Linked DNA regions of Diceros bicornis minor. The protein of the gene in region 1 binds, or shares a complex with, the protein of each later gene. Links are inferred from orthologs where the notes say so. Each region holds a gene or a part of one and is shown on either strand. Other genes may lie near its edges.

Region 1 (16,204 bases):
TGTTTCACCAAGTCAATAGCGAATTTGCATCAAGAAATAAACAGCATATCTAGATTTGCCTGGCCCAATTAAAAGAAACCAATGCTTATGAAGTTAACAGCACTGAGATTTACTGCCAAACCAATGAAAAGACAGGGTCATGGATACGCTCTAGATAAGAATTCTAGAGGACAAGTGGATGCTACTGCTTCCTGATGCCTTTCTGATTGTTCATAGACATGCACCTGAACTTTGGTGGTCACTAGGGCCCACCAGGAATGAGGAACCCTCCAGTCTGGAGAAGCCTTAGACTCCAAGGCTTACATGCCATTAGGCTCAGGGAAGGCTACTTGGAGCCCTGCAAGGCAGTTCCTTGTTGTACCACAGGAGCATACCTTTGCATTCTATTCCTTTCTGCTTCACTTGGCCTATAGTGACACCAAAGCAAAATAAGGACAATTATCTGGAACACTCAGATTTCAATCAATACATATTCATTGATTGTCTATTGTTTGCCAGATAATGCAACAGATGTTGAAGCTACAGAGTTGAAGAAGACATAGTCCTAGATTTCAAAAAGTTCAAGACCTCATGGTAAGAGAGACACATAAATATGTATAATATAAGTGTAGCTCAATAAAAGATAAAATTATCAGCAATCATGGAGCATAAAGAATATAATTAACAAGCCATGTTCAATACCTGGATGAGGAAGAGAACAACATTTAAGACAAGGAGAGCAAAAGCATGGGCAAAGACTTAGAAGATACTAAAAAAAAATGATCTATTTATGGATAGTGGGCATGCCGCATGCCTAGAGCATAAAGTGTTTGGATGATATTAAAAAATATGACTGGGAAAATTAAAGAGCAAACTAAAGCATTGGGCTTTTATTGAGTAGGTCATTCGCAAAATTTAATAATGTTAATAATCACCTATGATGCTTGTAAAATATATTGATTTCTTGTTGGAGGGCCCCTTCTTGAGCAGTGTTGGGCCCAGGAATCTGCACTTTTAACAAACATGTAGGCAGATTCTGGTGGAGGTCATTGGCAGACCACACTTGGAGGGACTGAGAAGGAGTGATGTGATCGGATCTGTGTTTACAAAGATAAGTGTGGAAATTATGGAAGAAAAGTGGAAGAAGACAGTTCAGCCACAGAAGCACTAGTTTGGATGTATCAAAATAGTCTCAGTGAGAGACAACAAGAGTGTGAGTTAAGGCAGTAGCAGTGGGAAGGGAGAGGAGAAGAGAGAAGTGATAGGTAACTTACGAGGTAAATCTGACAGGCATTCATGATCAATTGAATGTGTGTGTTGGAGAGTTGATTCAGAGATGTCAAAATTGTATGAGTATAGGGCAAGAGGCATCACGAGCAGAGACAGGAAATCAGAGGAGTGTAGGGTGGTGGGAACAGTAAGTTCACTTATAGACATTGTGAGTTTGAGGTGCACTATTAGGACTTTTTTCTTCCATCACAGATAGCAGAGTCCCTCTCTGGTTAGCTTAAGCAAATTGAGGAATTTACAGGGATCCTAGGACAACTTAAGGAATCTAAGAGGTATGCCGTTGGCTTTGATTAAGGGACCCAAATACCATCCAGACTCTCTCCTGTCTCTAGTCTTTGCTCTCTGCAGATCTTCTTCCCTTCCTTCTCTATTTCTATCAGAGTCAGTCACCTAGGAAGAGATTAAGCTCTCTTTTTTCTCTCTTTTCTTTTCAGTTCCAATTTCAAAATATTTGGGACAAATCCTGATTGGTCTAGCTTTGATCACATAGTCATTACATGTCAAAAGAGCTGTGGTTAGGAGGCTGGGGTCACAAACCCACATTGCAGCTCCTAGAGCAACCAAGTAGATCAAGAGAGGGGAATATTCCTAGGACAAGACACTGGGCGGATCATATTGAAGTATTAACCAAAGGTGCCTGCAGGACATCCATTTAGAGAAGTCAAACTTGAAAGTATAACTAAGGGAAGTGTTATTTGCTGAGTGCCTGCTGCATAGCAAACATTTTACTTGGTCTCTATCTCATTAAGTCATCCAAACAATCCCCAGTGGTAGCTACCACATTATTGTGCCCATTTTCAGCTGAAGAAATTGAGCTCCAGAGAAGTAAAATAACTTTGCCTGAGGTCACACAGCAGGAAGTGACAAAACTTTTAGGAAAGTCTATACTTTTTAACTGTTGAAACCATATTAGCTAAAGCCATGAGGGTGAATAAGATCTCTCCCAGAGGGTGTAGATGGTGATAAAGGGAGAGATCCTAGAGTGGAATCCACATTTAGGGAGTAAGCAGCGAAAGAGGAGTCATTGAAAGGGACTGAGGAAAGACCAACTATTAGCGAAGAAGAAGAATTTGATGTGTTAAAACTAAAAGAAGCAAGCTTTCAAAAAGGAAGACTTGAGTCAGCCCTGATTGCCTAGTGGTTAAAGTTTGGTGGTCACCTCTTCAGCAGCCCAGGTTTGCTTGCTAGTTGTGGATCCACACCACCCGTCTGTCAGTTGCCATGCTGTGGCAGTGGCTCACATAGAAGAACTAGAATGACTTACAACCAGGATATACAACCATGCACTGGGGCTTTGGGGAGAAAAAAAGAGAGGAAGACTGGCAACAGATGTTAGCCCAGGTTGAGAGACTTTCCCTGCAAGAAAAAAAAAAAAAAAAAAGGAAGACTTAATTAAGAGTGTCAAAGTGGCAGAGAGAAGCCAAACAGGAATAAGGCTGAAAGAGGCTGCAGCATTTGGCAATTAAGGAACTGCCTGGTGCAATTACACTTCTGAGAATCTTCTGTTCCCTGCCCCATTGTGACTGTGATAGTTTAGGCCCTCACCATCTCTCACCTGGACTACTGTAAAAGCCTTCTGTTTTGCATCCCTGTCTCTGTTCTCATCCCCACCAATCTATCTTCCACACTACCTACAGAAAGAGCCTTTTAAAGCAGGGATCACAGCATCTCATGCTTGCTTAGAAAACCTGAGAAGAAGCTCCACATTGTTTAGCTTAAAATATATCTCCATCACAAACCAGTCTCTAGAATCCCTTTCAGCTCACTGTACTTTTTTTTTTAAACATTTATTTATTTATTTTTGTGAGGCGATCAGCCCTGTGCTAACATCTGCCAATCATCCTCTTTTTTTGCTGAGGAAGACTGGCACTGGGCTAACATCCATGCCCATCTTCCTCCACTTTATATGGGACGCTGCCACAGCATGGCTTGCCAAGCAGTGTGTCAGTGTGCGCCTGGGATCCCTACCGGCGAACCCCAGGCCACCGCAGTGGAGCGCGTGCACTTAACTGCTTGCGCCACTGGGCCGGCCCCAGCTCACCGTACTTTTAATTGTGCCAGATGAAGCTACTTCGAGTTCAAGCATATGAAGTCTTATCGGCTTCTGTGCTTCTGCACATGCTGTTCTTACTGCTTGGGAGACTTTTTGATCCTCCTTTTTCCCCAATTTTGGCTGGTGATGGAAAGATCCTGTATCTTGGCTGGTGCCAGGGCAAAACACACAGAACTGTAAACCTAAAAAGTTGGATTTTACTGTATGTAAATTTTACCTAAAAAAGCTCTACTTAAAAAGAAAAGATATCTGGATAATCTCCGAATATTTGACAACTAAAACATTTCTAAATAATCAATGAGTCAAAGAAGAAATTTCAAACAAAATTAGAAAATACAAAGTCAATGGCACAAAAATTATTTTTTAAGCTAAATAAAATTAATAAATCTCTAGCTAAACTGATAAATAAGAAACGAGGGATAAAATGCAAACTACCAATATCCAGAATGAAAGAGGGGATATCAATAAAAATCCTATAGACATCAAAAGGACACTAAATAAATATTATGAACAACTATGTACCAAGACATTTAAAAATTAGATTAAATGTATGAATTCCTTACAAAGCACAAATTATGTAAACTGACATAAGAAGAAATAGAAAACCTGAGTACCACCATATCTAGTAAAGAAATCAAGTTCTTAAATAAAAGTTATTCTACAAGGAAATCTCTAGGCCCACATGGCTTCAACTTTAAATTCTATCAAAAATTTGAGGAAGGAATTAATAATCTTATAAAATTCTTTCAGAAAGTAGATGAGATGGGAATACTTCCAAATTTATTTTATGAAGCCAGAAAAATCCTGATCTCAATATTGAATGAAGACATTGCCAAAACAAACAAAACTCCCCAAAAAACCCAAAAATCAAAAACCAAAAAGCAAAGAAAGGAAAAGAAAATTTTAGACTAATGTCCCTCATTAAGATAGATGCAAAAAGTCGAAATAAGATATTAGTAAATTGAAGCCAGGAATATACACAAAGGAGATGATATCATGACCAGGGGAAATTTATCCCTGGAATGCAAGGTTCGTTTAATACTCAAAAATTTAACAATTCATTTTGGCCTATTAACAGAATAAAGGAGAAAAAGCACATGATCAGCACAATAAATGCAGGGAAAAAATGTGACAAAGTTCAACATCCATTCATGATAAACTTTCAACAAACTATGAATAGCAGGAAATGTCTCTGACCTGATAAAAGGGATCTATAAAAAACCTGCAGATAACATTACACTTAATAGTGAAAAATTGAATCCTTTTACCACTCAGACTAAGAAAAAGCCAATGATATCCACTCTCATTATTTCTATTCAACATCGTACAAGAGGAGCTTGTATGATGCCAGTGCAATAAGGCAAGAAAAACGAAACAAGATACACATAAAGAAGGAAGTAAAACTTTAGTTGTAGATGACATGATCATGAATGTAGAAAATCTTGAAGAATCTGCAAAAACACTACAACTCATAAATGAATTTAGCAATGTTGCAGGATACGAAGTCATTTTATATATTCTAGTAATGAACAACTGGAAAACGATATTGAAAAAATACTATTTATAATAGCATTAAAATCATAAAATGTTTTGGGATTGATTCAATGAACGATGTACAAGGCACATACACTGAAAAGTTGAAAACATGTCTGACAGGTAAAAGAAGACCTAGATAAAGAGATATGTGTATTGTGTTCATGGATTGGAGGACACAAGATTGTTAAGATGTAAATTCTCCCCAAATTGATTTTATAGATTCAATACAATCAAAATCAAAATCTCCGCAGGATTTTGTAGAAATTTTTAAGCTAATTTTAAATTTATAGAGAAATGAAAAGTGCATTGAACAGCTCAAATAATCTTGAATCTTACCAGGCAGTAAGCTGCTTGATATCAGTCTTGGCAATGATTTTTTGGATTTGACACCAAAAGCAAAGGCAACAAAAGCAAAAATAAACAAGTGAGACAACATCAAACTGAAAAGCTTCTGTACAACAAAGGAAACCATCAAAAAACCGAAAAGGCAACCTACCTAAGGGGAGAAAATATTTGCAAATCATATATCTGATAAGGGGTTAATAGCCAAAATATACAAAGAACTCATCCAACTCAATATCAAAAATCAAGTAATCTGGTTAAAAAATGGGCAGAGGACCTGAACAGGCATTTTTCCAAAGAAGACATACAGACGGCCAACAGGTACATGAAAAGGTGCTCAGCATCACTAATCACCAGGGAGATGAAAATTAAAACCACAATGAGATATCACCTCACACCCGTTAGAATGGCTATTATCAAAAAAGACAACAAATAACAAGTGTTGGTGAGGGTGTAAAGAAAAGGGAACCCTTGTGCACTGTTGGTGGGAATGTAAATTAGTACATCCACTACGGAAAACAGAATGGAGGTTCCTCAAAAAATTAAAAATAGAACTACCATACAATCCAGCAATATTACTTCTGGGTATTTATCCAAAGAAAACAAAACCACTAATTTGGAAAGATATATGCAGTCCTATATCCACTGCAGCATTATTTACAATAACTAAGATATGGAAGCAACCTAAGTGTCCACTGGCAGATGAATGGTTAAAGAAGATATGGTATACATACACAATGAAATATTACTCAGCCATAACAAAGATTGAAATCCTTCCATTTGCTACAGCATGGATGGATCTAGAGGGTACGATGCTAAGTGAAATATGCCAGACGAAGAAGAATATCATATGATTTCACCTTATATGTAGAATCTAAAAGAAACAAAACAGTGAATAGATAAAACAAAACAGAAACAGACTCATAGAGACAGAGAACAATTTGGTGGTTGCCAGAGGGGACGGGGCTGGGGGAAGGGAGAAACAGGCAAAGGGGATAAGAAGTACAAACTTGCAGTCATAAAATAAATAAGTCATGGGGATGTAATGTACAGCATAGACAATATAGTCAACAATATTGTAATAACTTCGTATGGTGAGAGATGGTAATCAGTGTTAGGGCGATCATTTTGTAATGTAAATAAATGGCAAATCACTATGTTGTATGCCTGAAACTAATACAATACTGTATGTCAACTATACTTTAATAAAAAATAGATAAATAAATAAAGATGGAAGCGCCATGAAGGGAGAGACTCTGGAGGGCTGACCCATCACTGACCTCTGCGTCAGGCAGGACATGGTGTGTGCTCTAACAAATCTTTGTAGAATGTATGAAAACAATTGTTTTTATTTTTTGTAAAGGCAGGACCACTATCATTTTTAAAATGACAAATTGAGAAAACATTTCTTATATATATGAAACAGGATTAATATCCTTCTCTTATTAAAAGTTCATGCAAGTTGTAAGAAACTTCATTAAGACCCGTAAGATGGACAAGTACGTGAGCGAGCTATTCACAATAGTGGAAATACAAAGATTAATGAACATTAGAAAAAAATGTTGAATTTTAATAACAGAATTGCATGTTATCTGTCAAGTTACAAGATATTTTTAAAATATAAGAATACTCAATGTGGGTTTGGGTATAAGTATAATAGGTCATCTCTCTCATACAGTTAGGGAGGAGTTAATATGAATGTTTTAGGAAATAATTTTGCATTCTATATCCACAGCCTTAAAAATATGTACTACTTTTGATCCTGTAATTACTTTTCAGAGACTATATCTTAAAAAAATTATCTGCTACAAAGAAAAAAAACTTTATGAAAATGTTCCTCAGAGGGTTAAATATGGTAGTAAAATTTTGGCAACTATATGTTCAACAATAGGAAAATGGATTTAAAGTTATGGTATAGCCACACGATAGAATATTATGCCGCCATTTAAACTATCTCTATAAAGATTTTAAAATACCATCGGAAAATAATTGTTTTAAAAGACATAGTGAGGAGACAAATTATCTTGTGATCGCCAACAATATAAAATATGCATAGAAAAAATAATAATGATAGCATATGCATTAGCTTTTACTGAAGGCGCAGGCACTCTTGCTGCACTTTAAAGGGATTATCTCATTTACCCTCACAGCAAACCTATGAAGCGTATATTTTCTTACTTGTCCCATTGAACTGGTGAGGAAACTAATACACAAAGGGATTAACCAAGTTGTCCAAAGTCTCTGATCTGACGGGTGGGATAGCAGAATTCGATAGCAGGCTGGCTCTCGCCTCCATGCTTTTAATCACTGCGCTAAACCGCTCGTTTTTGTTAAAACATAACAAAATGTTTTCAGTAGTGTTACAAGGGGCTCACTGGTCTCCCTTACACTTTTCCATAATTTCCAAAGTTTCTATAAGAAACATGACTTTTAATCATTATAAGTGATCTTAATCACAGCAATTTTTTTTAAATCCCAAAGTCAGCTTGGTTTTGTGTAGTCACACTCAGACTGTATATCTGGGGATTCTTTGCACCACCCCTCCCCCAGCCCCGATTTCCAGTTCTCTCTCCCCAGATGCCCTGGGGAGCCTCTGGTCCCCCTTCCGGCTTCTTCACGGGGTTTCCCCGGGTTCCACCCACAGGACCCGGATCCCCATGCTAGAAGCACGCTCTTTTCCCCCTGCGCCTGCGTCGCAGCAAACAGCTCTAGAGTGCAGTTGCCAAGCTTTCAAAGGCCGCAGCACCCGAGTCTTCGGGACCCTCCCGGCTGCCGCCCCACGAGGCCCCGCAGACCCCTAGCGGCCACGGGTTCAAGCTCAAGTCTCTGGCGGAGGCCGGGCGCTCGCCCGAGAACGCAGCGACCTTCCCGGGAGAGAGAGGAGCCCGCGGGAAGTCCCCCAGGGTTTGCAGGGCGGGGATCGGTCTCTGCCCACAACGTCCGAGAGGCCAGAGGCCGCTGGGCTTTAGGGTTCAAGTCCGGGGACCAGCCCCGGCCGCCCGCGGTCCTGGAGCGGTGCCCCTTGGGGGTCGCGCACGGAGGCCGCCTGGCTGACCATCCTTTATCAGATTAGGACCGTTGCTGAAAACAGTGATTATTTCAAGCTGAGAACTGGCCCCTGAGAAAATCGAGTGTTATTTAAAGAGTTGTCTGGGACAAAATTTACAGCTTGCGTCCTGGGGGGAGTTATTGTGGGGTGAGTGTATTTTAAACACGTTATCTCCTTGTGAACTAATTCTCTCTCTGGTCGGGAGCAAGAGTGGGGGGAACTGTTTGCGCAGCCGTGGGATTCAAAGTCCCCCTTTCGGGGAGCTAGAGTAAGGGTCGCCCTTCGGTGGCGCTGCGACTGGTCCAGAGGACTAAGTTTTCCGGGTCGCTGGGGCAAATATTTCACTTGAGCCTGCCTTGCTCCTGGGAGACATTCGCACGCCCTAATACAGCCCGGCAGCGGGTTCCTCTGCCTGGAAGGAGCCCTTCATTTCCCAGGTCCGATCACGGGGAAAATGGTGAAACCCCCAAATCCGCTTCTTTTTGTGGTTAATAGAAGGGCGCATAGAGAGCCTGGGAAAAAATTTACAAGTGCAAGTGAGAACCTTGCGAGTTTTGACATTTGAAAACCCGACTCTGGTGACTCATTGAATCCTATGTTGTAAGTTTCAGCGTCTCACGAAGTCTGGGGGACGCGTAATGCTTGTGTTTGTAAAATGTTCGCATCGCGCACCCCAAGTTTGCCGCTCGAATGCGGAAAGCTGGGCCGAGCGGGGGTGGGGAGGGTCTCCAGTCCGAGGCGCTGCGCTCGGGGCTTCTGCCCAGCTTCCTGCCTCGGAGGAGTCGCCGCGTCCGCCCTAGCCCAGAGCAGTTTGTGCAATTCAGAAACTCGATAGGAGGCAGCAGCTGATCTCCCACCACCCTAAAAATAATCCGCTCCGGCGCCCTGCGTGCTTCGGCTAGGGGAGGAAAACTCTGCCTTCCGAGTAAGTGAGTCCGTGTCTTTTACATAAATGTCATTTAACAATTTTAAGAATAAGTGTAAGCTGTCGATCTCGATCTAACATTTCGGCAACCGAAAGGCGCCCGCGCACTCTCAAAGCGCCTTTGCCTTCACGGTCGCTATTTCTAGGATCAGGACACCCGGCCCCAGCCGAGGAGAGAGGGCGTGGGGATCAGGTTTCCAGCTTTACTTACAAAACTCTGCCGGCTCCTACTTAAACCAACTGGAGATAGTGCAAGGAGTTATTATTACTTTTTTTCTCTTCGACATTTCCTGTCTTGTTCATGAAGTCGCTTTCTATCTGCTTAATTTTTGTTACTCTTTACTTTTTAGGAGTTCTGCGTCCCGGTTTGAAATGTACACTTAAGACAGTGTAGGAAGCCGGTGTTTTGAAGGTAGCGCAAGTGCACCAGTAGGGGTGTGAAGCAGCGTCAAACGATTGCTCAAGGTATTTATTTGTTTTTATTTGTTCAGTTTGGGATAAAAAAAAAAAATCCCATTGAAGTGTCCGTCTAAGGAATCTTATCTGCTGAGTAGTTCCAACATTTCCTTTGGTCTGTGATAGAACTTCAGTGGGTGCATTCAGATCAGGCATTAAATCAGAGGTCAGTGGTCATTTTTGCTAGTGATTTTCCTACTTGGATCTGGCATTCATAGATAGACAGACAGACAGGCATCTTTTAGTACATATTTTACGAACCATCTACTGAATAACTTCAAAAACTTATTACATTTGTTTTCGTAAGTGATCTAATCCTGAAAATGCCCTAGAGAATGATAAAGCCCTAAATAATTTCTTTAAAATGTCATGTTTCTGTATCACAACATAATTTGGTTAGTCTCTGAATAACTAAAGAACGAGTTATTTTGTATATAAGAATGAGAGCTTTTATATTGCTTTTAGCATGTTTTCTTCAGGTGTTTCCAGCATGTTAAATTCTCTGGGATTTCTACTCCGTTAGAACTGACGCTTTCTGCTGGATGAGCAGAAAAGAGTGCTGGTTTTCACTTACTTTATTCTCTATTCATCAACTAAATCCAAATTTTGTAACTCTTGAGGGTGTGGAACTTCATACAGTGCATTTCAAAGAATAAGAATACTGAGGGTAGTATCCTTGCCTTGAAATCGTAAATTTGGTCATCAAGGAGTATATTCTTTTTATGTTTTCTGCCCTGCAGACCATCCCTATAATCAGAGTTTCACTTTTGATGTTTGTCTTCCAAGTCCATTCAGTCAAGTTCTCCAACCCTATCGACTGTCATAAACACTTGAACATCTTTCCCTGGGTTTATGCTCGTGGGGAGAAAAATGTCTTGTCTTCCTATCTGGCCTCTCTTCCCTCTCCCGCTCCTCGATGCTTGGGCCTCTGTCTGTGCTCAGCTGAACTAAACAGCTCCAGAAGGGGCGGGGCTGAAGGGAGTCACGTGACAGAGCTTAGCCAGCAAGAGCAGCAATTCGTTCTGTTCCCAAACCGTTCCTAACGTAACCAGGGCTCTGGGAGGGAAACCCTGAATGACAATTAGAGATTTAAGAATTAGTTAAAAATCCTGATTGAATGAAATGCGTTTGCTAAACACAATAATTATGAACATATCTACAAGTTTACTCCTTCCCTCTTTTTGTCCATGTCGAGTTGTAATATGGGCTGGCTGTTACAATGCACACATGCACATGGCATGTTGGAGAGGAGGCTAAGGGACAAGGGGAAAAGGATGGAGGAGGAGGCAGGAAAAAAAAAAGCGAAAGGAGAGATGTGGTGAGAGGTAGTGAGCAGGTTGGGAGCCAGGGGGAAATATGCGAGTAGAGATTATGGTAGAAGGAAGAAATCATTCTAAAGCTTTTACTTGATTAATCTGAAGTATACACTTTAGTATGATTATGTCATTGTATGTTTCCCTGTCTGGCAGATCATAACCTTTACATTATACCAAGAACTATTGGGATTGGTGTGTATATGAGGAGTGTAATCTGATTTGTACAGTCTAAGACCACAGGGACTGTTTCTGTCATGCACTATTGGATTCCTAGTGCCTAGCGTGTGATCAATATCAATAAGTATTTTTACAGTTAATTAATTAGTGGCCTAGAATCCCAGTCATCAGGCATATGACTAAAAATGTTCTTTGACTTCTTCGCGTTATTATAGTTCTCTGATATTTTCTTTCCACAGTTACACACATTTATCCAAAGATTACTTAATTGGTAGATTTCAAGATTGATTAAATACCAGGCAGACAATGCTTATAGCTAATGAAATATATGTTTTACAACTTCAGATTATTCTTTAGCATCTGGCTCAATGATAATGATTAAATATCAAGGTTTATAAATGTGGCCAATTGGAATATTATGATTTTGGATAAAATTATAAAATTAGCTTAAGTAAAAATTTTCTTGTTCGTTCTAGGAGACAGTTTATACATGGCTTTCAATTAAGAGTGGGCTTAGAGTTTCCTTTTATCATTTCTACTAAATAAAGGAAGTCGTCTTAGAAATTCCACTACTAGCTATTATATTTGTTTCTGCTTTTTCCACCTTTTTTTCCAGTTTTATTGAGAAATAATTGACATACATCACTGTATAAGTACAAGGTATACAGCGTAATGGTTTGACTACATATATTGTGAAATGATTACAGCAATAGGTTTAGTTAACATCCATCATCTCATGTAGACACAATATATGATATAAAATTTCCATTTTACTGTTATTTAAAGAATCTCAAATCCTTTTTAATTCTTTTATCCAGCTTTGAACCTTAATAGTTGGTAACAATTTGCCAAGTTCATAATCTCATTTTGAATTTTTTAAAAGTATAACTTGTTTTTAAAAATGAGAAAAAGTCTCAACTAGAGAGCATATCAATGATTTATCAAAAAAGGGCGTTACCAGAAATAATATGCGGGAGGAATTCCATGTAAGCATTTACAGACTGTGAACACATAGGCTTTCTAACTAGTTGTTCTACTCATGTAATGCTTTATAAAACTTTTGCTTGAAATTTGGTTTCTCCAATAGTTTACCTACTGTTGCCAATCTTTTCTGTGTAACACTCTTTGTTTTTTTCTAGGAAAAAATATTGTTTGTGACCATTGCTAAATCAGTTATCAATGAAAGGGAAGAGAGAAAAGGTACAACTTTAGTTATTCAAACTTTTGCCAACCTTTAATAATCTAACTCAGAATCCAGTGTGACAGAAATATGGAAAAGTAACCAAGTCCAGTGAGGTTAAATTCTTAAACTGCTACTTATTTTAATAAGAACAAATAAGATATTTTCTTTAAAAAATAGGTTGGAAGCTACGTGATGCAGTGGGAAGGACATAGTTTATAGTCAGACTTGTGGGTGTGGCTCACTGCTATTCTGCTGGTTGGCAAGTTACTGAACCCTGCTGAACCTCATTGTCCTCTTCTGTAAAGTATGAATAACTCCACTAACATTGCACGGCTGTTCTGAAGACTAAATGTATGTGAAGTGTCCAGAATTTAGTAGGTATTAAATAAATAGTAGGCATTATAAAAGAAGTTTTCAGAATGCTAAAGCTCTTGCTGGAATTTCACAGTAGTGTTTTGATGGAGTAGACCCTTGCTCCTATACCATCTGTTTCAGCACAGCAGTGAAAGGAATTCATTTAAAATGTAAGTCAGAGAGTGTTACTCCTCCGATCAAAAACCCCCAGTGGCTCCATCTCACTCAGAGTAGAAGCCAAAGTCCCGACAGTGGCCAACAAAGCCATGGGTGATCTTGTCCTCTGTTTCCTCTCTAAACTCATCTACTTCTACGCTAATGGAATACAGATTCCAATTAAAAGACATCCTTTGTTTCAAAACTCAGAGTACATTTCGTATAAGAATATTCTCTGACTACAGGACCTGTGTAGTTTCATTAACTTGTCACTTGAGTTATATTCATTTGTCTTAGCGCTTGAGTCTAATCTTCAAAGAAAGGCTAATTGCCATTTGCAACCACAGTGGTCTCTGTGTTTTAGTATTTCCTGCAATTAATGAAATGTTGCAGTAAATTGTGTCCAGCTGAAGTTGTTTGTTAATGCATTTTCAATGAATGAACATGGGAAAGGATTTGATATGACACCACTTTGTCTTTTCAGTCAATAGTTTCATTGTTTTCTCCCCCTTTTTCTTATATATCACCACTTTTGTTCTTTGAAACCATTTTAGTCCAACAAACACTCCTTTGAGGTACCACTATTGGTAGGTGTTAATTATTATATATTTTCCAAATTAAAATAAAATATTTTTCTCTGGAAAAAAAACACTTGAAAGGGAAAACTTACAGAATGTATAAGGCCATTATAAGAAGCTCTCAAATGGCTCTGGCATAAGATTTCCTATTTCCTCGACTGCAAAAATAAAGGAGATTAATTTTATGATGTAATCTCCTCTTTAAGGTTATAATTTATGAAAAGGAATTTAATAATAAGAGGTTCTTTCTCTTTTCTCTCTCTTTTAGAGTAAACCATATAAGAAGAAATGAGCCTTTCATTCTGTGGTAACAACATTTCTTCATATAATATCTATGACGGCGTATTACAAAATCCTTGCTTTGTGGATGCCCTCAACCTGGTCCCCCATGTCTTCCTGTTGTTTATCACTTTTCCAATATTGTTTATTGGTAAGTGATCTGCTGTCCTATATTATATCACCTCATGTTTATAAAAAATCTTATTAATGGCTGAGATTTGGTATAATGTTGACTTAATTTCTTCAACATGAAAACTTGTAGGTAAGTCTGTGAGAAAAAAACAAGCAAGTATTTTGTGTTTTCCAATGAAATATATTTTTGGCATATGATATTCCATAGGTAAAATAGAATGCCTTGTAGAAATGGCCTTCAAAGAGCAGCAGCAGTTTTTTAAAAAGAGAAAGAGAATTATATGAGATGGATCTAAAATATTTGTTTAGCACTTGCTTTGTGCTAGGTGAGGAGAATGGAAAATGGGTAAACACACAGTACTTGCCTGGAATATTCACTGGAATTGTCCAGTGAAATAGATGTGTCAAAGTCAAGAGAAATGACTATACCACATTGTAAGCCCATTTACAGATACAGGAACAAATTGTCTTGGGCATTAACCTGCGAGATCAACTAATTCTTCTTGGGGCTGGTGGGGAAGATTGCGTAGAGACTGACATGTGTGGGGACTTGAGGATGCAGAGCCTGCAAGTTAAAGTAGGAGTGATGAGGGTGTGTTACAAGTAGAAAGAGTGCATTGCAAACTATTTGGAAAGGAACTAAAAATATAGTTTTTCCTAGTATTTTACAGTCTACAAATACACAAAATCTAATTATTTAGAGCAATTATGTGTAATTTGTGTAATTTCCCCAAAACAACCAAAATAGAGCTTTTAACTTTTTTAAATTATAAAATAACTTTCATATATAAAAATGTCAGAGACTAATGTAATAAACATCCATTGAACCTACCACCACTCATCTTAAGGAATTTGATAGTAAGAATATAAGTGAATCCTTCTGTGTGCCATTTCCTGATCTTGTTACTCTTCCCACAGCCTACATTCTTATCCCTTCGAAAGAGGTAACCACTATTTTGAATTTGTTTAATATTTCCATGCATGATTTTGCTCATAAAAATAGATGAAAAAGCTATCCGACTGATTTTCTTAAGAAAGTTAGCATAATTTAATGATCTGCTTTAAAAGAGGGTTTAAAAATAATTTGTATGATTTTATTTCTTCATTTAACAAATATCGAGAAACTACTATGTGCCTGGCGTTCTAACAGTGATCAAAAAATTTCCATTATATGAGATATCGTATAATGCAGATGCCAACATAACTCTTGGTACATAGTTAGTCATGTTAAACAAATGTATGGATATTAAATATATTGGGACTAGAGTGGCCACATATAGAAACACTAGTTTTTTATGTGGTGTTATTTTATAGGACATTAAGAATGCCTTTTGGCCAAAAGTAGAACATCTATTTTTTTTATCATAATTCTCACAATTAGTAATTCACTTTTGACATCTAATTAGCTTCTTGAGAGCAATTACTGTGAATTATTTGCATCTCTAGCATTGAACACAGGCTGGCAAAACGGTATTTGAATGAAGTAGAATTAGAGTGAAGATCGTTAAAGGGAAATGGTGGAGAAAAATGCAGACCGTTCATCTATAACATTGGCTACTTGAGTTAGTGAGAGATCATAAATACTAAATCTCAAAGAAGTATCAGGTATAAGGAAAATTATAATGTTGAACAAAAGACATAGAGCTTGCCTGCAAGAGTTTGCGGCATAAATTCTAGTGGAGTATGTTAAATGTAACTAATCTTCCAATAATGAAGTTCCTTTGGGAACAACTAAGACATATAGAATCAATTTTATTTTCAAAGAAGGCTTTAGGAGTCCCTTTTGTTCATACAGAAATTCCTTCCTGCAGTGTTTTAAGCACAAACTCCCATTCATTCTTGAAGTATGTGAGGCTTCTCTACAATCAAAAAATAAGAAAAAAGGTGAAAAAAGGACACAAAAGTGGGGTGCTGTCCTAGCATGCTGTATATGAGTTGGCATTATTCTAACTATAGTTTTGAGGGGAAACCATCAAAATTTTACTAAAATGTAATCTTGAATTTTTTCTTCAGTGGTGAGCTCAAGTTGAACCTATAATGTTCTTGATCCTGCTTAAAAGCTCCTCAATGAATAATACTTTAGTTTTCTTTGAGAAAATATCACTACCACTGTTGAATAGGGCTGGCCCAGTCATAAGTTACCATTTTTCTCACATGATATGCATATGATTAAGAGTTAACTCAACTAAGGAGTCCTATATTTCTTCACTAAATATGGCTATTTTGTTAGTCCTCCCACAGATCCCATGTTTTGAAAGATTTTAGATATCAAATTTCTTTTATTAATAGCATCCTTAAGTTGGTTTCTTTTTGAGTGAATCAGAGACCTGTCAGTAAGAGCTGTGATTCACATGAAATAACCATGTTGTCACCCAGAATTGGTGTTACTTCCAAGCAAT
Region 2 (15,973 bases), about 140 kb from region 1:
AAATAAATGGTGGCTTGTTCACACAGTGAAACGCTATTACTGGTATATAAACCGACATGGCCAAATCTCAGAGATAAGATGTTGAGAAAGAAGGCACTAAACAGTACCTACTGAATGATTCCATCTACCCAAAACTCAACAACAAGCAAAACAAACTGATGAGGAAATAAGCCACAATAGAGTTAGCTCTGGCAAGGAGCAATTACAGCCTGGAAAGGAGCAGGAGGAAATCTTCTAGGATGATAGACATGTTTTATATCTTGATCTGTGTGATTTGTGGTGGTGGTTATATAATTGTATACACAAGTTTAAAAAAGTGGGAAAAAGAGCAAATTAATTTAAAATAACCAAATAGAACTTTTAGAAAAGAACAAAAGTTACTAAAATTAAAATTAAAAATTCAATGGACAGAGTAAACAGCAGTTAAGCTTAGATGATGAGAGATTTCTTTCCATTGGAAACACATCTAGAATGTACATAGAATGCAGTACAGAACAAGCTGATAGAAAGTATGAAGAACGGTTAGAAGATGTGGAGGATAGAATTAGAAAGTCTGAAATAGGGTTCTCAGGGGGAAAAAAGAGATTCAAAGAGCCAAGAACTATTCCTAAAAAATTCAGACTCAGACGATTTCAAAATTATTGCACTTTCAAGGAGTACGTCAGTCCCTATTCTATATAAGCTATTCCAGTTCACAGAGAAAGAATATGCATCAATTCTTTTTACAAAGACACATAACATTTATCCAAAACCAGGCAGAGATAATACAGAAAGAATAATTCAGACCAATTGTGGTTATAAATATTTATGCAAAAATCCAAAAATATTAGCAAAAACAATCCAGCATTATACTAAAATAGTAATTCACCATGACCAAGTGGAGTTTACTTAGGAATGTAAAAATAATTCAACATTTTTTAAAATCTAGTGACTTAATTTGCCATATCAACTGGCCAAGAAAGAAAAAAAGATCACTTTGGTATTTGCTAAAAGGGCATTTTATGTAATTCATCATCTATCATTGATTAAAAAAAACATAGAAAAGTAGAAAAAGCACACTACCTTAAAATGATAACTATGTAAATTATATATTCCGGAAGCATTTTCTCAAAACCACTAAGAAGAAAAGCATGCCTGTTATCACCAGTATGATTTACTATTGATCCGAAAACACTAACAAATGCAGGTTAAGAAAAAAATAAAATAATAAATAATAAATTAATTAAATACAAATTAAGGAAGTTGTGTCAAAGTTAAATTATTTGAGAAAATATTACGTTTTAAGTGTCATTGGTCTGTGTTAAATCCTTTACATACTCACCTCAGTTAACCTATCCAACTCTGAGAGGCAGATGTTAGTGTCTTCATTTTACAGAAGTAAATTGAGGCTCAGAGTAATTAAGTATGTTGCTCAAAGCCACCAACCAAGTAAATGGCAGAACTTGTAATTTATTCCACATCTTTCTGACTCTAAAATTCTGTGAACTTAAAAGATCATAGTATATTTCATATATCTTCCATAATTCCTCAATTTTTTAAAAAACCATTGACAAATCCATAATAAATTTCTGTAGGCTTACAGAGAGGAGACCATTTTATTACCCCATTTATTCTAACAATAAGTGAGGTAATTTGACATTTTAAATTAGCAACAAATATCAAATATTTAATTCTAGTATGAACCTGTTTAGAAAAATGTCCTTGTGGAAGCTTTTCTGGCACACATAATTTTTTACCTAAAGGAAAATTCAGGTCATTTAATAGTAGAAAAAGAGTTCCTGGCAAATGATCATTGGGGCCAATGAGTCTAAATATTACTTTAAAACTTTCAACCTCTATAATCCCTTCTGCAGCTGGCATTTTTGAAAGGTGGCAATAAGGAGTCACCCTACAGAGTTCTGGAAAATGTCAGGTTTCTCTTTCCAAGTACCACATGAGTCACTGATTTTTCAAAACATTGACGTGAAAGCTTAGCAGTAGATCAGGACATTGTTGGGAACCGCCCTTAACCTAAGAGCGTCAGAAAAGCCTGTGGAGAGTTCCTATAGCAGGACAGATCCCAGAATCATACAAACTTGTCTTTCTTTGGCACGAGAATATCAAGGCATAATTTCAAGGTCTGGAAAAATGAACAGTGACAGCCGCTATTCCTCATCTTCTCTTGGAAAAATCCCTACGAGCTTTATTTAGTACTAGCATTTTGTGCACTACCGGCTGCAAAAAATGACCACAGGTACTCTTTAGTTGATTGAAGGAACCACTTTTCTCTTGGAGACACTATTATAGTACAACAGACATGTTGGTTTCCTGGGTCCTTATTTTATTACCAGCGTCTTGGCTGACTCTCTTCCAGTCCCCGGTATCTTGATTAAATTCAAGAGTTGAAGAGATGCCAGTACAAGTATTGGTTACTTAGCACTCTGAAGGTTAGTGAGGTCTCAAAAATAACACATTATAAAATGATATTATTGTGTTTTCTTTTCTAAGTATTAGATTAGGAAAGATTGTTAAATAATAGTTAAAGGTATCTGTGGGTCTATACCTCCCCCACTTCCCCCCTCCACACCCAGCTCTGAGATCTTTTTGACCATCACCAAGCTAAAACCAGCCCTAATATATTAGTAAGAATAGACATTTATTAAGTACTTATCATGAGCCAGTCACTATCCTAAGCACTTTATGTGGATTGTGTCATCTTGTCCCCATAACAATTCTATGAGTTTCTTATGCCTGAGTGGACAAGAGAATCTCCAGGGGAACTTTTAAATGTGCTTTATTTTATTAGAAGTATTTATACCTTCTCATTAAAGATACTTTCATTTGGGGGCCAAAGATCTTATATCTTATTCTATCCTTGCTCAATAAACTCCTAGAGGGGAATAAATTAATGTAACCAGAGGTTTCTCATGTAGCTGGACCATGGATTAACAATCATCCCTTTGAGATAGCGTCCCAGTGAGAAAAGTATAGGGTTTGGGATCAGATGTTTTGAGTCTGTGGTAACTTTCCACCTACTAGGTATTTGATTTTAGGTAAGTCATTTAGCTATACTCTAATCGACTCGTGCGTAAAATGAAGAAAATAACCTACCGTACAGATGTCTTAAGGATTAGGTCAATGTTTTTCATAGCCTCGGAAATGCAGACTCTCAATCTTCATTCATTGGGTAAATGGAGAGATGGCCAGATCAATGAATACACTTCCTATTTTTCCCATTTCGTCTCCTGCTTTTCCTCTTCTCCATTCGATATATTGATCTTGTTTCTATTCTTCAAACATATCAAGTCACTTTCTTTATCCTTGTTCTTGAGCTGCCCAAACCACTCTTTCCCCAGTTGATCACTTGGCTGATTCTTTTTTCAGATTTCGCCTTCTTAAAGAGGTCTTTTCTGAACTCTATGAAAAATTGTCAATCTCTGGCCCCCATTACCTGCAATACTTATCTTGCTTTATTTTCTTCATAAATCTTAACGCTATTGATAATCATGTAATGCATTACTTGTCTTGTTTGCTAACAGCTTCCTCGCCAACAATGCCTTGGAGCAAGGAATTTGTTTTGTTCACTTAGATATATATTAAAAGGTAGTGATTATCGTTAACGATCCCCCCTTCTTGACTTGCTGATTCACACCTGTGAGCTGGCATAAGTTTGAAGAGTTGAGCATGCAAGCTGGATGGAGGTCTTTTTCATGAATGGTTCTGACGGATATCCTTGAAGAAAAGGGGTGACCTCATTTAAAGGAAAGCGAGGCTTTTTTGCACATAAATAGGTATATATCTCAAAAAGAAATGTTCTCTGAGTTCCTTGGAATAGATAAGGAAGAAGAGTTATATTGTCATTCCCATTTCACGACAACTCCAAAAAAGTGAATTTATAACATGCTGTTTTGATTACTAGTTTATGTAACAGTTTTATTAAGCTGATTTCAAAGCAGTATGTTCCAAAGTGGTTTATATGAGGACACTAATAAAGCAGCATACCAAGAAAATAGACCAACTGTTATTTGGGCTGCTAACATGAATCGTTTCCATTGTCATTTTGAAGACTCTCCAAATTGTTACGTCTAATACGGCTCAGGAAATCCAAGAGTTCAAAATTCACAAGTTGAGTCAAAGGCAAGATCGTCAAATTCGAGGACTTCACCCTTTATCTCAAGCGTAATTTCAAGGACTTCACTGATTTGTATTTGATATTCAAAGCAGCAGACAATTGGGAAAAGCATCAGCCGAATACTTTCTTTGCTTGTTTGAAGGCACCTGACAAACTTTGTTTCTTAAGAGAATGAGAATTGCAGAAACTTCTTTATCCTCAAATAAAATGCTCATAGGATCTAAAAGGAACCTGACAGATGTTGACTTACCAGTGAACAGACATCTTTGAATTGCTTCCCAGTCGTATACATTTCTCTGGTATCCAATATGAGCAGATTCTAACAGGATACCTGAATAGTCAAGAAAATCATAGGATTTAAAAAGTCAGCTCTGACCGAAACTTATTACTGGTCTCCTCTAGGAGTAGCGAATAAATAAGTCACTCCTGAAAGCACAATTAGGAAAATTATAGAACAGTTAAGAAAACACATGTAACTTTTAGCAGACAACGGCAAAATAGTGATTAAATAAGTAGACCAACAAAATCAGCCTGAAGTAGTAAATGTGTTCTTGAAAAATTAATTGATTTCCTTCACAGATTTCTCAGAAGTAAATTTAAATGTTCACTATTTGGACCCTAATATGAGAAGAGGAAGATCAGAAGGGGGAGGACTTAGAGATCAATCAATAATAAGTATTTATTAACCAGCTACTGTGTGTCTAGAAAGACCTTTGTGAGATACAGGTAGGTCTCCATTAAGCTCAAAATAAAGTTGTAAAGAGAAACATAGCCAGCAAACGTCAAGTTTAAACAAGTTTAAGTATTGCTGACCTGGAGTGGTTAGGGGAGTTGCTGAGGAAGGAAGGAACAGAGAGTTCAAAGGGAGGAGAATGTTAGGGTGATGAGAGAGGGGAGACATGATAAGTAAGGGAATCTTTGCAGACAGGAATGGCCATAGACGTTAGAGATCTCCAAACTTCAGGTTATCTATGTGGGTTCTGAGAAATGGTTGCAAGAGAGAAACACCATGTTGCAAGCACTTCTTTCCTTAATTTGGCAAGTATTTATTGAGTACCTACTTCTAGGAGCTAGGAACAATTCCAGTCACTGGGTTTGTAGAAATAACAAACAACTTGCCCTGATGCAGTTTCCACACAGTGCAGAAAAACTAGCTAAAGAAAAAAGACATAAAGGGTGGGTTAAAAAAAAAAAAATCGGGAAGGCAATGGAAAGAGAAAAGAAAAAGAAAATCTGTAATATTTTTATAGTACACATGTTTCATGTTTTTTCTAAATGACTGCTATTTGTTTTGAGGCATTCTATTGTCAAAATTTTACTTAGTGACTTCTTGTTGTTTATTATGTGTATTCTCAGTGACCTTATTTTGAATTAACCAATGTAAATTATTGACTAGTAAAAACTATGGTATAGCTTGTCATTTCAAAAGTCAAAACTTGACTTAAAATTGCATGTTTGGAAGGATATATCTCCTTAGGAAAAAAAAATTGAGTCCTAAATACACATTACAGCAAAAGAACAGAATTTTCATAGGAGTCAGATATGGATTTATGCATTGCAAATCTTCTCATAATTTTCGTCAGCAGTTAATCTCTTCTCACTCTAATTTTTCTACTCTTTCTCTGTCACTACAACAAACATCACAGTCACCTCCGACTTTTTCCTTTTCCAATACTAACTCTGTGTAACACTCCTTTTGTGTATATTTGTATATTGCCCACTGACATTGCCTTTTAGCCTCAGATCTCATTTCTTCTCTAATTAATGTAATAGTTTCCAGAGTCCCTTTCTGCCAGTCACAGAATTTTGGCGCCTGAAGGGATTAGAAATGCAACTCTTAAAGCCATCATAGTCTCTGCTTCCTGATCCATCCTCCTAAAGCAGGCTCTTATTGTGTTGTTCTCTAATCAAAATTTTTCCATGACTTACCACTTACCTATTGAAGACTGTCCAGACTTCTTTGTTGAGCATTTAAGACTGTCTGCATTTTTTTTCAAGGCCTCAGTATGTTTTTCAACCTTACCTTTTCCATTCATTGACGCAAAAGTATTTTTTGAGCACCTCCGTAATTTGAGCTGTGCTAGAGGCTTATGATACAAAGATAAGCCACAGCTCTGCCCTCAGTTTCACCCAAGTGGGGGCGGAACAAGCGCACGAATAACCCATGTGTTGAGAAGAGTGGTGACAGGCTGCCCAGGGAGCATTGGACTCAATCCTCCCATCCTGCTATCTTGCTGACGTTGACCTCATCATTGCTGATTAAATTAGTTTCTGTTACTAAAACATGGCCCACTCTTGTCAATACTCCATAACTTTGTTCATGATGTTCCCTCTCTGTGGAATGTCTTTTCTCTGTTTCTCCATACCCCCAATATATCTGTTTTTCAAAGACTAGATCAGGTGCCACATAATCCGTGAAGTTTTCCTCAGTCTCAATATCTCTCATTTGAATTCCCATGGCACTTGAGTTATATTTCCTTTCTCATTCTAATCACATCCTTGCTTGTATTAGAATTTATTGTCGAAGTCCTGTCTCTCTTTACTATGAGAGAGTCTGCCTCTTAAGAACACCAACTATGATGTTATATATAAACTTAAAACAACTCTTCACATAATAGGCATTCAATGAATGTTCCCCTAGCTAAAATAATAGGGAATAAATTGCACATCAAACTCAACTGTAAAATAGGACAAGGAGGGGATTAACTATACCAATTGATCCCCACAAACGTGTAGTAAAACTACCACAAAAATTAATGTAAAAATTAAAGACAATACAGAGGTCAGCGACGACGAACAGACTAGGGTCCCAGGCTTGAAGCGGTTAAGCAGATCTATCCACAAGGGGAAAAGAATTATTCTTCCTTTGCCTTCATTAAAGACTAATTTTAGGTCTTTTAGTAATTAAATGAACACATTGTTTATGTTCCATACACTTTCTACCCCGAGTCTTGGAAATTTCCAAGAATTACAGTTTCCATTAACACAAGCGCCAAATCAGGAGGCTTGATCTATGGGAGAAAGTACATTTGTCTTTGCTGGCTCCTTTTCAAAAAGCTATAGAAAGATATTTACTGTATAATGTTTCTTGTGCGCAATTGCTCTCTTTTTAACATTCAGGCCATCTAGACAAGACGGAGAAGCTGCAACATTTCAGAAAGCAACCAATTACTGAAGAACGACACTTTGAGTTCTGAAGTGTTAACAGCAGTCCCTGTTTGGGGTAAAATTTCTCACTGAAAGAGACTTCGAGTAGTTTTTCTTTCTTCTACTTTTTTTGTCGTTTTGGGGGTGTGTGTGTGTGTGTGTGTGTGTGTGTGTGTGTGTACCTCCCTGAGAACTAGTTTTGACTGGTGAAGAAATAGTTTACTACGGTGGGTTTCAGAACATCTTCCACCTGTATCATCCCTACCAGATGGAAATTTAACGTAAATAAATACGTGTGCACACAGCTTGAAAGCCTCAGAAGACTATTTTCTGATCTCTATATCTGGTTTTATTCAATCCGAAGTAGCCCAGTTTATCTACCCAGGTTACAAAATAAAAATAAAAATTAAATTCTCTTTACGTCAGTGGACTTGGACTGAATCACTTTCCTCTGAACAGGGAGCCTTTTACAGACGTGCGGATCACGCTGGCGGCTGGGGGTCGCAGCTACCGGGAAAAGAGCTGGTTCTACAGGTCCCGCCCTCTCCGTGTCGCCCCTCCCTCTGGACCGCTCCCTACCTCCCCCGGAGGCGCCCTCCCTCTGCACCCCCTCCCGCCTGTGGCTCGGCCACTTCGGCGGCCTCAGAGGTCTGGCGCGCGTCAAAGCCCGAACTGGGAGGCTGAGTTGTGGAGCATCATCCCCAGGCTCCTCTCCCCCCAGCCCCTCCTCCGCCCACTGCAGCGGCCAAGGGAGTAGAGCTGAGCAGGGGGAGGGGAAGATCTACACCCATCCCCCTTCCTCCAGCCCTCCCCGCGTTCAGATTCAATTGCACCTTTTATTATTTTAACTCGTCTCGCTAGGACACGCGGCCCCCGGATCTGTCCCTCCGGCATTCGCGATCCCTGCTCCCGCGCGCCGGCATGGGAGAGCAAGGGACCCGCCCGCGGTCGGCCGGCGTGTGCGGGGAGGCGCAGCCGCAGCGCCCGCTGCCCAGAGTCTGTAAGTTTCAACGCTCCTCCCGGGGCGGGGAGGGGGAGGCTGTCCGCGTCCCCGCAAATGATTTAAAATGCAAAACACGGCAGAGGTTTACAGTGCTGGATGAACTTTTCTGGGCACACTCTTTTAATTCTATCCGCAGCCCTCAGCGTATTGTCCGGGTTTTTTGTTGCAGCTTGTACGTGTGATCCCTTCGTTGTAAAGAAGTTTCAATTTGTAATATTATGAGTTCCAATGGGAATTTTTTTTTAATACAAAACTCATACTTCTTTCAAATTTAAAATATTTCTTCATTATTTTCAAGTTACATAGCACATTGCTTATTATTTTGTCAAATTACACTAAACACGTTATTTATAGTGCGCCAGAGGCTACGGCCTTTTCTTTGCCTACTTCTAAAAATAACGGAGGAAAAATTTCCCGTCTTTACTTTTAATATTGCTATATCATGTAAATACTTTAGTAAACAGATCGTGATACCCAGCTGGTCTTAATTTTCGTCATAGACGCCGCCCGCTTGTATCCATGCACTAATCTGCAGACGCGGTTAATCTCAGAGAATTATCATTGAGCCTGCTGTTTACAAGGCTCCTGGTTTTGTTTAACTAAGGCTATGCCCATATGTGTTCAAAATGATAAGGACCATTGAAACAGTTCTGATTCAGACCAAATAATTTCTCCGGGATCCCAGAACCGAGACACAAACTAGGGTCATGTTTAGATTAATAAAATCATACCTGTAGTTTTGCATGTCACCTCTGGGGTACAGACATACCCCAGAATCAGAGGACTGAAGAGGAGAGGAAATTGGGGGTGGGGAGGGAACAGTTTTTAATCATCGTTTCCCTCGTGCAGGAGGACGGGTCTCGAGGAAAGGAAAGGCAAGGAAGAGACAGGTGGATAGGCTGGCTATGGTGACAGGACGATGTTGGCCAGAAAGAGCATCATCCCCGAGGAGTATGTGCTGGCTCGCATCGCCGCGGAGAACCTGCGCAAACCGCGCATCCGAGACCGCCTCCCTAGAGCCCGCTTCATCGCCAAGAGCGGGGCCTGCAACCTGGCGCACAAGAACATCCGTGAGCAAGGACGGTTCCTTCAGGACATCTTCACTACCTTGGTGGACCTGAAATGGCGCCACACGCTGGTCATCTTTACCATGTCCTTCCTCTGCAGCTGGCTGCTCTTCGCCATCATGTGGTGGCTGGTGGCCTTTGCCCATGGGGACATCTACGCTTACATGGAGAAAAGTGGAATGGAGAAAAGTGGTTTGGAGTCCACTGTGTGTGTGACTAATGTCAGGTAAGAATGCAGTGGGATAAGGCAGGGGTTGAAAACAGAAAAAATATTCAACTGCCCTCGTGACGTTGTTATTTTGTTGAAAGTGAAATAAAGGGTTTGCTTTAGTACCTTCCAAAACAAAAAAGTAAAAAGACCAACACATTAAGAAACTTTGAAATGCAGCTTTCTGGATGAGGAGTCTCTGAAAATGTGGAGCTTCAGTGCCTTGGGCTAGCCTTGAAAATATTATACCGGTTATTTAAAAAATGGTTGTGGTTCAAAGAATTCCATAGGGTGCCTTACTCAAAAAAAGTACACAGTTTTCAGCACGAAAGAGCTTCTGTCCATAGTTCCAGTGTCCACAAGTAAATATCTCTGATCAACAAAAAATATTGTGTTAATGCTACTAATATTTTTCCATGACTTCTCTTACCCATGACATTTTCAGAAATAATAAGAAAAATGGGAAAACACTTGTGAGAGGTGTCCTAGATTAAAATGCACTAAAAATGAAATAAATATAAGGCCTTCTTTATCAAGATTATCTTAAATAGCTGATTGCCTGCATTGGATTCCAAAACTAAAAGTTATGCTAAGATTCAGAACAAGAAAAAATTAATTTTTAATGGAAATTGGTCCAAAATTTTCATGGAAGAGATTACGTAGACTTAATGTTGTGGCTTTCTTTCAGAATTGTAATAGAATAGGAACAAGACAATTCTTAGATTGCCTAACTTTGCTTCTTTCTCTTATACCAAGTATTTCAAAGATAAGTAAAGTGAATTTGGTTTCAGTAATGCTCCTCTCATATTTTCATGTAGCCTGATAACATTTAGTTGGGGTGATTTGTCTCTTAATTTGTTTTGTTGGAAAATGGAAAGAGAGAATTTATATCAATTGCAAACATGTTCACTCTGAAGCGAAACAATAGTAATAATACTAGAAACTTTTCCAGGACATTTTCTGAATAACATTCCAAATTCAGTCATGCCCAAAGCAAAGCTACTTGAACGAGCACCATTCTGCCAGGAAACTGTAAAGAATGAGACCTTTACTGACCCTGAAATCTTATGAAACTAGCATACCACTGCAAGAAGCAGAAACTCAGACTGTGAACTTGTCCATCTTTCCATTTCCTAAGTAACTGCAAGGCTAGCATATCAAAGAGGGATGCAGTGTTTGTGTGCAGAGATTAGACTCCACAGATCTCAGCTCAGATTTTGAGGTGGGAAAACTATATTGAATTCATCCATTGCCTTTACCTTCGAGTAGATATTATTTTCTTGTCTTAAACTTGTCACAAACTTTTATCTCAAAGAAAATGTAGGTGAAAAGTGTAGGTGATCATCAGTACACCAGATAATAAAGGAAAAAATTAAAATACTATGTTTAACAGGTACTTGTAGGTCAGATAGCATTATCTGTAATATTTCTCTTGGTGAATCATTTTCCTATCAAGATAAATTTTTAATAAAGATGCAGTAGACACTCATAAAAAGGGATAAACGAAAATGACAAACCTTGAAAATAAATGGCAGATTTTATTCACAAGACAAATATATTGGCTTTTCCTGTGAAAAAGAAGTCGTTAAGTCATTAAGGAATTTATTAAAGGATAAATCCTCAAAGTGACATCCTTTCAAGGATTTTTTAAAAGAACTTTACAGAGTGCATTGGTTGTTAAAAGCTGTTTTGCATGTTCATTCTGCTGATGCTTTCCTGCTGGTGTGAACATTAAGTCATGAGAATGAGAAATGGCGTCACAAATGCAATGAGACAAAGTTGATTTTATCAGCATGACAATTTTAGCATTTTAAATTGCACTTATTTAAAAAAAATTATTTGACATCTTTTAAGGTTAAAATTTTACTGGTTTTATTTTAATGTTATGGCACTATTTATACTTTAATCTCAACATACAGTTTAATTGTAACAAACCATGCATAATAAAAATTTTCTCACCAAAAATATAGAAACAGAAAAATCTCTATTCTCTCCCAAAGTGGATTTAAAAGATGACTAATAATATTTCTAATTCTCTGCATTTTCTTTCCTTCCATAAGTTCAATGTCCCACCATTTCATCAAAATTGGAAATAACTTATTGTGATGGATACTCCCCAGTATGTCCAAATAACATTTTACCATCCTCGTTTTAGAATGGCTCACTTTCCCTTTCATGTGGATCACTTTCTAACATGAGTCAGAAAATAAACCCACATATTTCCTCTTATTATTCAGCCTGACTCCCTCTCTAGCAGAACAAACAAGCAGCTAAACACTTTCATCTCTTGAGGTTGTTTAGCATGACAGGTGTCCACAAAAGGCTGGGTCTTGCACCATATAATGTTTAGAATTAAGTTATTTCATGAAATAAACAATATACAAAATACGGCACGTGAATGGCCTCCCAAGCCATTAAAACAAAACATTTGGGAATATTCATCATTAGACTGCTCCCTGAAGTCTGTATACATTATTAGAAATCAGTGTTGTGTCCATGCCCCACCCCCGGGCTCCATTCTTATTCTTTGCCATGGTTTTGGATCACATGACATATGTGGTGTGTAGCTAGTGCAAAAAGCAGTTATTGTGGTTTTTCGTGAATCTTTTAAAACAAAAGGAGTGAAAAAGGCAATTTTCACACTCCACTTAAAATCTAATCAAAAGAATCATCTATGTGTGCTTGCTTACCCTTCATGGTATCCTACCAAAGTGCAATGTGTAGAGTCAGTATTCATATGTTTAAACATTTTGCTCATTCATTGTGTGTGGCATTAATAGATAGATAATACTTTGACAGATGGACTATGCATGGCTTAGCGCCTATAAAATTAGGGAAGTTTGAAATTGGAGTTGGGGCAAACACAGGGCTAACATTGTTTCCATTAAGAAGCCATGGAAGTATTGGTTATATAGTTACATGAATAAATTAATGGTAAGAATAACCAAATGTGGTGCTTCTCAACCAGGGGGATAAATCAGAATCACCTGAGAGATTTTGAGAAGTCTTACCCAGGTCTACCCTGAACCTACCTGAATGAATTCAGCAGTGTTCATTCACCGAGATATGGAAGAAAAGTGCAATTTGAAAAAGCTTCCCAAGAAACTCTTGACACTTGTTGACCCCTTCCCTTTACCTTTTCAGAGCACTAGGCCAGAAGTGAGAGGATTCAAGCTCTTACTAATTATATGATCTTGACACAGTTATTTACTAATCTCTGCCTCAGATTCTTCCTTTAATGAAAGAATTCGGTATTCTCTGGTATTCTCTTTCAATATTCTCTAGATCACTTAGAGAACAAAATGAGACAATTAATAAGAACACATTTTTTTCCAAATGGCAAAACATTCTTTTCTATTAACAATAGTAGCATTTTTGAATGATGTGTTTTTGTACCACTTTTTAGCACTGTGCTTTCTCTATATAAGATACACAATAAGTATTAGTTAATAAATATGATTTTTAAAGGTTGTAAATAGTAAAAAGTTGACTCTTACTCAGTATTTTCCATATGACTCAAGTCACTTAAATACAGATATGCAATAGATAATAAACATCTACCTGGTAGAAAGTTTTGCAAAGTAAACTATGCCTATAAATATAAATATGTGTATTTATAATTTTAATGCTTTGACATAAATAAGCCCATCATTACATGACCTAGAAAACATTAATAGAATTGTATTCCAGAAGTCTGGATGTGATGCATGTGGGTGAGAAAGAGAGAGAGACAAGTATTTGTGTTTAGAATCAGGCATTGGACAAGTGAAGTTGGCTAGTCTTTCCAAAAGCATTTAATAGCCTTTGGGAGAAAAAAATGAAAAATTCAGCTTGGCATGTTATTTCATTATTCAAAATTTGACCTGATGGCATTGTTTTCTGTTATCATTCCTTACAGGTCTTTCACCTCTGCTTTTCTCTTCTCCATTGAAGTTCAGGTGACAATTGGATTTGGAGGGAGAATGATGACAGAGGAATGCCCTCTGGCCATCACAGTTTTGATTCTGCAGAACATTGTGGGTTTGATCATCAATGCAGTCATGCTGGGCTGCATATTCATGAAAACAGCTCAGGCTCACAGAAGGGCGGAAACTTTGATTTTCAGCCGCCACGCTGTGATTGCTGTTCGAAATGGCAAGCTGTGCTTCATGTTCCGAGTGGGTGACCTGAGGAAAAGCATGATCATTAGTGCCTCCGTGCGCATCCAAGTGGTCAAGAAAACAACTACCCCTGAAGGAGAAGTGGTGCCTATTCACCAGCTGGACATTCCTGTTGATAACCCGATTGAGAGTAATAACATTTTTCTGGTGGCTCCTTTGATCATCTGCCATGTGATTGACAAGCGCAGCCCCTTGTATGATATCTCAGCAACTGACCTCGCCAACCAAGACCTGGAGGTCATAGTAATTCTGGAAGGAGTGGTCGAAACTACTGGCATTACCACACAAGCAAGAACCTCCTACATCGCTGAGGAGATCCAATGGGGCCATCGCTTTGTGTCTATTGTAACCGAGGAGGAAGGAGTGTATTCTGTGGATTACTCCAAATTTGGCAACACTGTTAAAGTAGCTGCTCCAAGGTGCAGTGCCAGGGAGCTGGATGAGAAGCCTTCCATCCTTATTCAGACCCTCCAGAAGAGTGAACTGTCCCATCAAAATTCTCTGAGGAAGCGCAATTCCATGAGAAGAAACAATTCCATGAGGAGGAGCAACTCTATCCGAAGGAACAACTCATCCCTCATCGTGCCCAAGGTGCAATTTATGACTCCAGAAGGAAATCAGAACACATCGGAATCATGACAGCAAGACAACCCCAAGAAAGACTTTTATCAAGTATTAACAGTTTATGCAGGGCACTATCAGACTGTACCAGAGCTGGAATACAATAATTTGTCCTTCTATATCTTAATGCACTAAATGATGTTCATATTCAAACAACAGCACTTTCTGTGTCAATAAACGGTAACACACAAGGTGGAGGATTCATGGCTCACACTTGTTTCATACATGCAATATTTGCTGTGATAAGCTTAAGTTATATATAAGAAATAGTATGCTCTAATTTCCCTCAATTTGAAGCACAAAAATTACATTAATAATCATAGACCTTGAATACAAAAGTTGGCCAAGGAATGGTTCTGTTTGAAATGCTTAGTGGGTGAAACCACAGATCCTCTCTGTTTCTGTTGTTGCCTCTGGAAATGCAAATAGAATGGGGGCAAAACCCAAAATTGTGTTGTTGACACCTTTTGTTTATCAACCAGTATGTTGCCTTCTCCTTTTTCCATGATACTGCACCTGGTAAGAAGCCTGAGGCAAAAACTGCTTAGCTCTATCTGCTTCTGAGCAGATTCTATTCATTCACTTGGTTCTTCACAATGACCTCCAGAGGTTTCCTCATCCTCCTCATGGCAGCCGTTGGCAGAACTGAGCAAGGAGCTTTGGAGAAAAGCTAAGAATATTCCTGTCTTATTTAGGACTGGATTCCCAAAGGTGATAGTTACTTCTTTTGGCTTCTCACTTCTTCTTAAGAGCTCCCACAGGGAAATACTGTATTGACTATTTTATTAAAATATTTTCTTTGTATTCATTGTAGTTTTGTGATTTCTCTTTCACAAAATTATCCCTAGTTGAAGCTCAAGAGAAAAACATTTTTAGAGGCATGTGAAAGAGATATCATACAGCCATAACACTTACCTCTGAGAGCGCGCTCTCTCTAAGAGTCCCTCTCTTTGAGATCTATTATTCCTAGGGAACTACATTTTTTGTTTCATTTTGATTTCATTTCATTCCAAGTTTTGAAATGTTCTCTTGGCTTTTCTATCTGAGCCTGATGTATCATGGAAATCCTGTAAACTTTTTTCTTTGAATCTCTGACTCCCCCTCTTAAAACTATACTTCCTTCCCAATATATCTAAATTCAGTCCTTGCCTATGTAGATTTTGCATTATCTCAATTGCTAAAGTGAGATTTTTCTATCAAAGCTTGATTTACTCATCCTTAGCTCCTTCTTCTTGAAGGATGGGATGAGAGTGCGGAGAGAAGTACTAGGTTAATAAACTATGGGTTTATTCTTATTCTTTAGTTCACACAGCTAAACATCATATAGCTGTTGTGTAGCCTTTTACACAGATTTTTGAGTTTGTATTTATTTTACTTTGTTTATGAACATTGAAATAGGCAGGTAATCATGAATATATTCAAATCCTGTCTTAAACAAAAGACTCATGATTCTAACCAGATGAATGGAAATTGTTTATCGTGTTAGTTAATCATTTCTGAAAATTCTAACCACTCCCTTGAACTCCAGACTCATATATCAAACAGGTACTTGAAACTCCACTTGGATACTTAATATGCATTTAAAATTTATTGTGTCTAAAACCAAATGTTTCATTCCCACTAACAAAACCTACCCCCTTCTCCTAGTCTTTCTTC

The links.
Region 2: the proteins of ABCC9 (region 1) and KCNJ8 are in contact, whole or in part, in a cryo-EM structure (PDB 7MIT), measured with the Rattus norvegicus proteins. The link is inferred for Diceros bicornis minor from reciprocal best matches to the Homo sapiens genes ABCC9 and KCNJ8. Residues at the interface, in XP_038963045.1 of Rattus norvegicus: Phe5, Ile10, Tyr13, Asn14, Ile15, Val19, Asn22, Cys24, Phe25, Ala28, Leu29, Val32, Val35, Phe36, Phe39, Phe42, Pro43, Ile44, Phe46, Ile47, Gly48, Trp49, Gly50, Ser51, Lys55, Gln57, Ile58, Asn129, Phe130, Lys132; in NP_058795.3 of Rattus norvegicus: Met1, Leu2, Lys5, Ile7, Ile8, Pro9, Glu11, Tyr12, Val13, Leu14, Ala15, Arg16, Ile17, Ala19, Glu20, Asn21, Leu22, Leu45, Ala46, His47, Lys48, Asn49, Gly54, Arg55, Phe56, Leu57, Asp59, Ile60, Thr62, Thr63.

Annotation. Positions count from the first base shown.
Region 1 is NC_080756.1:40,336,606-40,352,809, forward strand, and holds the start of ABCC9 (ATP-binding cassette sub-family C member 9), read left to right. Parts: upstream 1-9,531; 5' UTR 9,532-9,639; intron 9,640-12,262; 5' UTR 12,263-12,323; intron 12,324-13,662; 5' UTR 13,663-13,682; coding exon 13,683-13,824; intron 13,825-16,204. UniProt on the Homo sapiens protein: Subunit of ATP-sensitive potassium channels (KATP). Can form cardiac and smooth muscle-type KATP channels with KCNJ11. KCNJ11 forms the channel pore while ABCC9 is required for activation and regulation.
Region 2 is NC_080756.1:40,474,011-40,489,983, forward strand, and holds KCNJ8 (ATP-sensitive inward rectifier potassium channel 8), read left to right. Parts: upstream 1-7,965; 5' UTR 7,966-8,258; intron 8,259-9,110; 5' UTR 9,111-9,180; coding exon 9,181-9,554; intron 9,555-13,434; coding exon 13,435-14,335; 3' UTR 14,336-15,090; downstream 15,091-15,973. UniProt on the Homo sapiens protein: Inward rectifier potassium channels are characterized by a greater tendency to allow potassium to flow into the cell rather than out of it.